Linked DNA regions of Rattus norvegicus. The protein of the gene in region 1 purifies or fractionates together with the protein of each later gene. This does not show direct contact. Links are inferred from orthologs where the notes say so. Each region holds a gene or a part of one and is shown on either strand. Other genes may lie near its edges.

What was found.
Region 2: the proteins of Zfp280d (region 1) and Cbx1 purify together in Homo sapiens (affinity purification with mass spectrometry; 4 studies listed by BioGRID and IntAct, with this or other methods). This does not show direct contact. The link is inferred for Rattus norvegicus from reciprocal best matches to the Homo sapiens genes ZNF280D and CBX1.

What each region holds. Positions count from the first base shown.
Region 1 is NC_086026.1:81,885,415-81,889,843, forward strand, and holds the start of Zfp280d (zinc finger protein 280D), read left to right. Parts: upstream 1-1,500; 5' UTR 1,501-1,544; intron 1,545-1,971; 5' UTR 1,972-2,005; coding exon 2,006-2,033; intron 2,034-3,449; exon of another isoform or gene 3,450-3,598; intron 3,599-4,429. UniProt on the Homo sapiens protein: May function as a transcription factor.
Region 2 is NC_086028.1:82,283,643-82,287,131, forward strand, and holds the end of Cbx1 (chromobox protein homolog 1), read left to right. Parts: intron 1-2,015; coding exon 2,016-2,160; 3' UTR 2,161-2,789; downstream 2,790-3,489. UniProt on the Homo sapiens protein: Component of heterochromatin. Recognizes and binds histone H3 tails methylated at 'Lys-9', leading to epigenetic repression. Interaction with lamin B receptor (LBR) can contribute to the association of the heterochromatin with the inner nuclear membrane.

The DNA.
Region 1 (4,429 bases):
CTACACTTTAAATCAGGTTGCCAGGATTACATAGCCTAGTTCTCTACTCACTGAGGCATCTTGGTGGTCTGAAACTATATTGAAATGTAGTGACTTCAAAGTTTATCTTACTATTAAAAGCTGAAAGGAAAGGAGGATGCGGGAAGTCAAGCACAAGGTCTTGAATATGCTAAGTTTGCACTCTACTCTCAAGCTTCATTCTCAGCTACAATAAATTCAGTTTTCTTAACTCATTTTTTGGGCAATTTTTCATAGTAAAGAGATTTGGCTTTTTTGTTTTGTTTTTGTTTGTTTGTTTTTTAGTATTGGGGATTGTATCCACTGCCTCCTGAGTGGTAGGCCAACGTTCTACCCCTAAGCTTCTCTTTATTCTAGAATTTCAAAGTTGCCAAACATTAATAAGAGATTACAGGTATTTAAATTTTTCATTGGTTACCAATTGAAACCTTTAAGGCATAATTTAATCTTATTTATACAAAAGCTAAAACATTTAATAAAATAAATTTATATTATTCTCAATGTACAAAAGATAACTTTTGAAGTCTTAACTTCTTTTTATATTAGTTAATTAATTAATTCATTTATTTATTTATTATGTGTGTGTATGCCTGTGCACACATGTGGTGGAGGTAGCAGACAACTTGCATGAATGAGGTCTTTGTTTTTGTTTTTTTTGGGTTTTTTGTTTTGTTTTGTTTTGTTTTTTTTGGTCATGTGAGTTCCAGAAATCAAGTTCAAGTCTTCAGGCTTGCTCCAAAGCCAGTTGTAGTTTATTATGTAACCCAGTGTGCCCTTGAACTTGTTGATATTCTTTTTGCCTCAGCCCCATGTGCCATTATGCCTGGCCAATTGTGAACTTTTGGTAATGTTTATTGTAACTTTTATTGAGAACCAATGAGTTATAAGTGTGGTTAATTGGAAGCTATTTACCTATCTTTATTTTCACCTAAAATTTAACATATTACCTTACTCTTAGCTGACTAGGAATACCTCTTATCTTAAGTGAATTAATCTGATGAGCTTTCTTTTTCGTTAGTTGATAAAGTCAAAGTTGTGTTTTATTATAGAAATAGTGATATTTTTGAGTTTGAATAGGCAACATTAGTATCATTTAGCATTTGGGCAGTGACATTTACTAAAGCAGTGCATTATGAGGAATTTTTTGCTGTTACTTATATATTAATATATATTTATATGTTGTTGTTTATTTGTTTGAGACAATTTCTCCCTGTTTAGTCTAAGTATTAAACCTGTGATCCTCTTGCCTCAGCCTCCCAAGTACCTAGATTATAGATATGTTTCACGTTTGTCACAAATAATTATTTTTATTTTATTTACTTGTCAGATTTACTGAAATAGGAAATACTTGATATAATCACAGTTTTGTTTCTGATATTTGGAATTCTTAAGGAATAAACCGATTATTTTATAAAAAGGGTAAATATAAATGTACATACATTAATATCATCTGCCCTAATGGTAGATATCTTTATTTTCTAGAAAGGCAAACTGAGATACAACTTGCTGATTTTTGTGGTCACATGGTAAGTTTAAATATTTAAATTTGATCCAAGAATTTCTTTTATGTATTTGTTTTTGGTGTGTGAGTGCAGGCACGTGCATCTGTGTGTTTGGGCAGATGTTCGAGAAAGACAGGGTTTCCTGTCCTGTCCCTCAGCTTTGCTCCCTTCATGCAAACTGTGTTTCGCGGAGCCTGAAGCTCACTGTTTTGGCTAGAGTGCCTAGCTAGCAAGCTACTGGGATGGAACTGTCTTTGTCCCTACAACACTGAGGCTAAAGGCCACTACTTTTTATGTATGTGCTAGGATTCAAAGTGAGGTCTTCTTGTTTGTTAAACAAATGTTCTTACCTCAATGTTATCTCCTCAACTCCTCTATCAAGAATTTAGTTTCAGGTTTATTTGTAGTTAAAATGACTCAAAATTGACTGATGTCATATGTCAATACTTAGGTGACAACGTATAGAAAGTCAGATCTACAACTTGATGGGTGACAGTTCCTTTCAACCAAAAGGTAAATGTTACTTCAGTAACTGATGCTCATGTGCAGGTGGTGTATAATTCCACTTATGATAGAGGGTGAGAGATAGGGAACATCTTAGAACCATAGAACTATTGAGGTAACAAATGAACTGGCATGAAGTATTTTATCTCTATTAACTGTTTATGTTAATAGTTTATCAGTTTGGCATATATTATCATATAGATTTCTTCTATGCTTGTATAAGCATTTATTAAAATTATAAAAGATTTAGAGCTTTTTCTTAATAGTCTTTCATATATTAACAACAGCAGAGTCTGTGTATGTGTGAGCATACATGCATGTGTGTATGTGTGTGCTGTATACTATATTATTTTACTTGGGTTGTCATAATAAATCACAGACTAGATGGTTTCATTTGGTAAAATTTTATTTTTGGACAATTCTTGAAGCTAGAAAGTCAGGATTAAAGTATTGCTAAGCTTAATGTCTTCTGTGGTTTTTTTTTTTGTTTGTTTGTTTGTTTTGGTTTTTTTGGGTTTTTTTGGTTCTTTTTTTTCGGTGCTGGGGACCAAACCCAGGGCCTTGCGCTTCCTAGGCAAGCGCTCTACCACTGAGCTAAATCCCCAACCCCGTCTTCTGTGTTTTAAGATAGAAGCTCTGGGCCTCTTATAAATGGTCATATTAAATTTGTGGCCATATTGTTAAGAACATGATAGAATGTTGTCCTAATTTTGAGTAAAAAATAGAAATTGCACTCTTTAGTATAATAGGAAATAATACTTAGAAATGATAAAGATATTGTTTAAAATAGAACTTCAGATAATATCTTTTGTAGTCTTACTATCTTCATGTCTGGACAAGTGCCACTAATGTTCATGTACATAGCTGGTCATATACATGGTTATATTAGTTGAGGCCCTTAACACTGTTTTCCTTCTTTGTCTGCCTCCCTCTCTTCTTGCATTTCTTCTTTCTCCTTTATAGCCTGAATTATAAATGCATGTAATTAAAGACTCAAACAGTCTGAAAGGCTTTAATTGGCCTTGCCAGTTTCATAAAGCAGTGCTGGTAGAGACTACTAGAAGGGGGCATTGAATTGAATTGGAGCTGGAGTTACAGGGGATTGTGAGCCACCCAGTATGGGTGTTGGGAATAGAAGAACTTGGGTTCTCCAGAAGAGCAGTAAGTGCGCTTAACTTTTGAACCGTGTCTCTAGTCCTTGTTTTAGCTCTCTTTTTATATGTGTATTTATTTTATTGTTTTTAATTATGTGTAATGGGGGTTACTTAAGTTCATGTGTAAGTGCAAGTGCTCACAAATTTCAAAGGAAGTTGCCAGATAGAGTGGACCATCTGTAAGAGTAGTACTTTCTCTTAACTGCTGAGCGACCGTTCCAACCCGTTTTATTGCTTTGTTTTGTTTTTTAATTTTTCTCCCCTGCCCAAGACAGGGTTTCTTTGTTAGCCTTGGCTATCTGTCCTGGAACTCGCATAGTAAACCAGAACCTTGAACTCCAGAGTTCCACTTAACTGTCTCCCAGTTGCTGGAATTAAAGGCATGCACCACCACCACTACAACACTCCTGGGCCTGAGAGGTGATCTTAAAGTTAATTTTTAATCTTTGGTTTCCTAGAGAAGTCCTCCTAACATGCTGTATCCTGCATCCATCCTACTTACTTACTCTAGACCTACTTACTGACTTACTCTCTTCTGGCTTGTGCACCTTAGGTGTTACTCTTTGTTCATTATGCTCTGCGTGTGCATATGTGCATGTGTGCGCGTGCGTACACATATATATGTGTCAAGGTATTTGGGGAGGGAGATCAGAGGACAGTTGGTGGGACTTAGTTCTTTCCCACCAAGTGGGTCTTGAGGATTGAGCTCAGATCATGAGGCTCAGCAGCAAATGCCTTTATCTACTGAGCCATTTCAGTTTTATCCTGTTCAGACTTTGACTCTTTGATGTCTGATATACCCGTTTCTTTTCTCTACTCTACCTCTTTCTTAGAATCCTTTTAATTTGTTTTGCTATCTTTTTATCTTTTATATAGAAACTTTTTCTTCCTAAAATCCCTGGTGTTTATTGTTTCATCTACATTTAAGAGAGTGATGCCTAATCGGAATTTCTCAGTAGTTTTTCTGCATGCCTTGCTTTGATCGATTTCTTTAGGGAGAAATGTGTAATTTGCTCTATTTGAGATAAGCCTCACTCCTTTCTTACATTTTCCTCTCATACCAAATCGAACTCCCCCCACCTTTTTTTTTACTCTGCATTTTCCATTTCTAAGACTAGTTTATTCTAATTTGTATTTTCATCTGTGGCTTCTTTTAACCCTCCCTCCCTTTAAAGACAATAGATAGGATATAATCCTTTTTTTCAGAGTTAAATGTATACATTTTTTACTGCATTTTCTTTTTTTCTTTTT
Region 2 (3,489 bases), on another chromosome or scaffold:
TAAAGATGTGGTTACTGATAGAGGTCTTGCCTAGCATGTACAAGGCTCATGGTTTGAACTTCAGCGCCCACTCCCTCACCCTCAAAAGATTGAGTGTTGATTGTAAAACTTTACCCAAGTTTTTAAAAGTCACACATGGCTAGGTGTGGTAGTTGCACACCTTTGATCCCGATACTTAGAGGCAGAGGCAAATGGTTGTCTGTGAGTTTGAGGCTAGCTGGTCTCCAAAACAACATAGAGCTGCAGTTTTCAACCTGTGGGTCATGACCCCTTTGAGGGCCAAATGACCCTTTCACAGGAGTCATGTATTAGATATCCTGAGTATCGGATGTTTATGTTATAATTCATAACTGTAGAAAAATTACATTTATGATGTAGCAATGGAATTTTTTGGTTAGGAGTCAGCACAAGATGAGAACTGTATGAAGGGTTGCAGCATTAAGAAGGTAGAGAACCACTGACACAGACTGATACATGTATGCTCATGGGTCTGTGTATCTGTAGAACAATACACATGGCTCTGGCTTCTATTTCTAGTACCACATACATGCACATTAAAAAAAATGTGAGGGGCTGGGGATTTAGCTCAGTGGTAGAGCGCTTACCTAGGAAGCACAAGGCCCTGGGTTCGGTCCCCAGCTCCGAAAAAAAAGAACCAAAAAATAAAATAAAAAAATGTGGGGCTGGAGAGATGGCTCAGTGGTTAAGAGCACTGGCTGCTCTTCCAGAGGTCCTGAGTTCAAATCCCAGCAACCACATGGTGGCTCACAACCATCTGTAATGAGATCTGATGCCCTCTTCTGGTGTTGCTAAAGTACACTACAGTGTACTCATATACATAAAATATAATAATTCTTAAAAAAAAAATGGGCTGGAGAGATGGCTCAGCAGTTAACTGGCTTCTTTTCTAAAAGACTCAGGGTCAGTTCCCTGTGCCTACATTGTGGTTCACTACCTTGTAGAACTGTAGTTCCAGGGAATCTTAACATCAGACACACATTTGTATACATATGTATAGGCAAAAGACGTACACATAAAATTTTTTTAATTTGCTGCATGGTTTTCCAGGAAAGTGGTAATACCTGTCCATTGCTGAAAATAGAAAATATTTCTATGTAGTGAAAAGACTTAAACTTACTCCAGAATCTCTGTTAAAATAGGGCAGTGTGTTAGATACTTTGTAAGTACATTTCCAGCCATCTTGGTGTGGTTTCTTATAGAGGCTTAATCATATGGGCTTATTCTGTGGTTCTCTGTGGCTCTAAACCCTTGTTCATGGTCACATTTGGGAGGTTTGTGGTGGGGCCTTGTCACATTCTGTCCTGCCCCACGCTGCTGCCTCTGTCTGGGACGGACCCAGTGAGCTGAAGATGAATGGATAGAGCTTCCTCCTAGTTAACTCCCTATAATGCATATTATTCCCAGATTTTAATCTTGTTTACCTTCTGAAATTCTAATTAAGCTTTTGGGGGGAGGGGCTTTTCTAAAGAAATAGTTGAGTCAGATGACCTACCTTTTGACGACGTTTCTTAGAGAAGATTTTTGTTAGTTTTGTTTTGTTTCAGTTTTTGAGACAGGGTTTCTCTGTATAGCTCTGGCCATCCTGGAGTTCACTTCGTAGACCAGGCTGGCCTCGAACTCACAGCAACCTGCCCTTGGGGGGAGTTTTTTTTTTTTTTTTTTTTTTTCCCCCACATGGAGAGGTTTAATGAGAGAAGAAGAGTAGAAGAGGGGAGGAACAAAGGCTGGCCATGAGCATGTGGAGGGAAGGGGGAAGGATGGGGCGAGAAGGGACAGGGAAGAGGGCACCAGAGCAGAGAAAAGGCAAGAGGGGGGGAGATTTTTAACAGGAATATCTTTGTATGATGTGATAATACATATCTAGTAAATGCTGCTTGCACCCTGTTTCCTAATTTGTTTATGGAATTTAGCCTTTAAAGCCCCATTCCCTGGGTGGTCCAAAACATGAGACCACAATGGCTGACTTCAAAGTTTCTTTGTGCTTTGTTCTGCAGGAAAAACTCTGATGAGGCTGACCTGGTCCCTGCCAAGGAAGCCAATGTCAAGTGCCCACAGGTTGTCATATCCTTCTATGAGGAAAGGCTAACGTGGCATTCCTACCCCTCAGAGGATGATGACAAAAAAGACGACAAGAATTAGCCCTGTTGAGTACCAGCCCCTGTCACCTCTGACTGTGGGTTTCCAGGGGGAGGGAAGGAGCTGTACTTGTCTTGACACCATTGAGGTGGCTTGAGAAGATGTCCTTTGAAGAGCCAGCATAGTTTCTGTGTCCTGCAGCAGCCCAAGTGCTTTAAATTGTTCACACTGTATAGTTTGCACACCCATCCCAGGGGAGGGGAAAGGGTAAGTGTTTCAAGGCTCTGTTCTGCGCTTTACTAAGGAAGGAACAGGCCTTCCATGGAGGACAGAACCCGCAGAACTGGGATGTGGGAAAGCAAAGATACTGTCGATCTTCAAAGAGCATCTCCACAACCCACTGCCTTCTTCCCAATAGTGTTAACTGCATTTTTACAGCCTAGCATGTGTGTAGTTTTTTGGCTATTACTGGTATATTAATTGGGGGTGGGAGGGTTGGGGCAGGGAGGAAGGGAGATGGGTAGAATCATTTTGATTAAAATTTGGAGCCTGATTGGGGAAATGGTGAAACAGTAGAACAGTTAACTAATAAATTGGTTCTATGTCCAGAATATTTTGCCTTTTCAAAAAATTGTCATTGGCACCATAAATAAGGACTATGAGAGACTGTTTAAAAAAAAAAAAAAGAAAAGTCTGTTAATCCTAAAACCTACAGCCAAGGTGCTCCCAACCTGAGCTCAAAGTAGCCCACAAAGGACAAAGCCAGTTCTGAGTTACCAAAGCTGCCATTTGATGATGGAAACTGACTGGAGAGGGAAAGTTTATTGGAGAGTATTAGAGGCAGACCACTCTGCCTCAGAGGTGCTAATTCTTGAAATTGGAGAAAACCTTTTCCAATTACAAAGTTATAAATATCAGTTTGTCCGTCTAAGCCATTGGCTCAAGTATTGCAGGAGGGCCTATGGGAGATGGAGGAGGGGAGCCTCTGCTCTGGGGGCAAACTCTTGGAGCCCCTCTCGCTTTTTCTTTTTTTTTTTTTCTTTCTTTCTTTTTTTTTTTTTTTTTTTTTTTATTTTGTTTTTTCAGCTTTGAACCCTGAAACTGCTTGTGGCAGGTTCAGTTACTGACAGCACAAATTCCATTGAGTCTATTCAAGGATTGAATGACTTCACAAGCCCTGGTCTCAGGAGATTAACTTTCATATTGGGGTAGTGGTTCACTTGAGAATACAAAATCTTCAGATTAACTGATGTCCAAAATACTGTCTTAAATCATGAGATCCATCAATTTTTAGTATTGTCTAGACCTGCAAATAGAATTACATTGTAAAATCTTTTTCAGCATGTGTTAAGATGTATGTGAAATTTTTTTGTTTAAGTGTAAACTTCATAC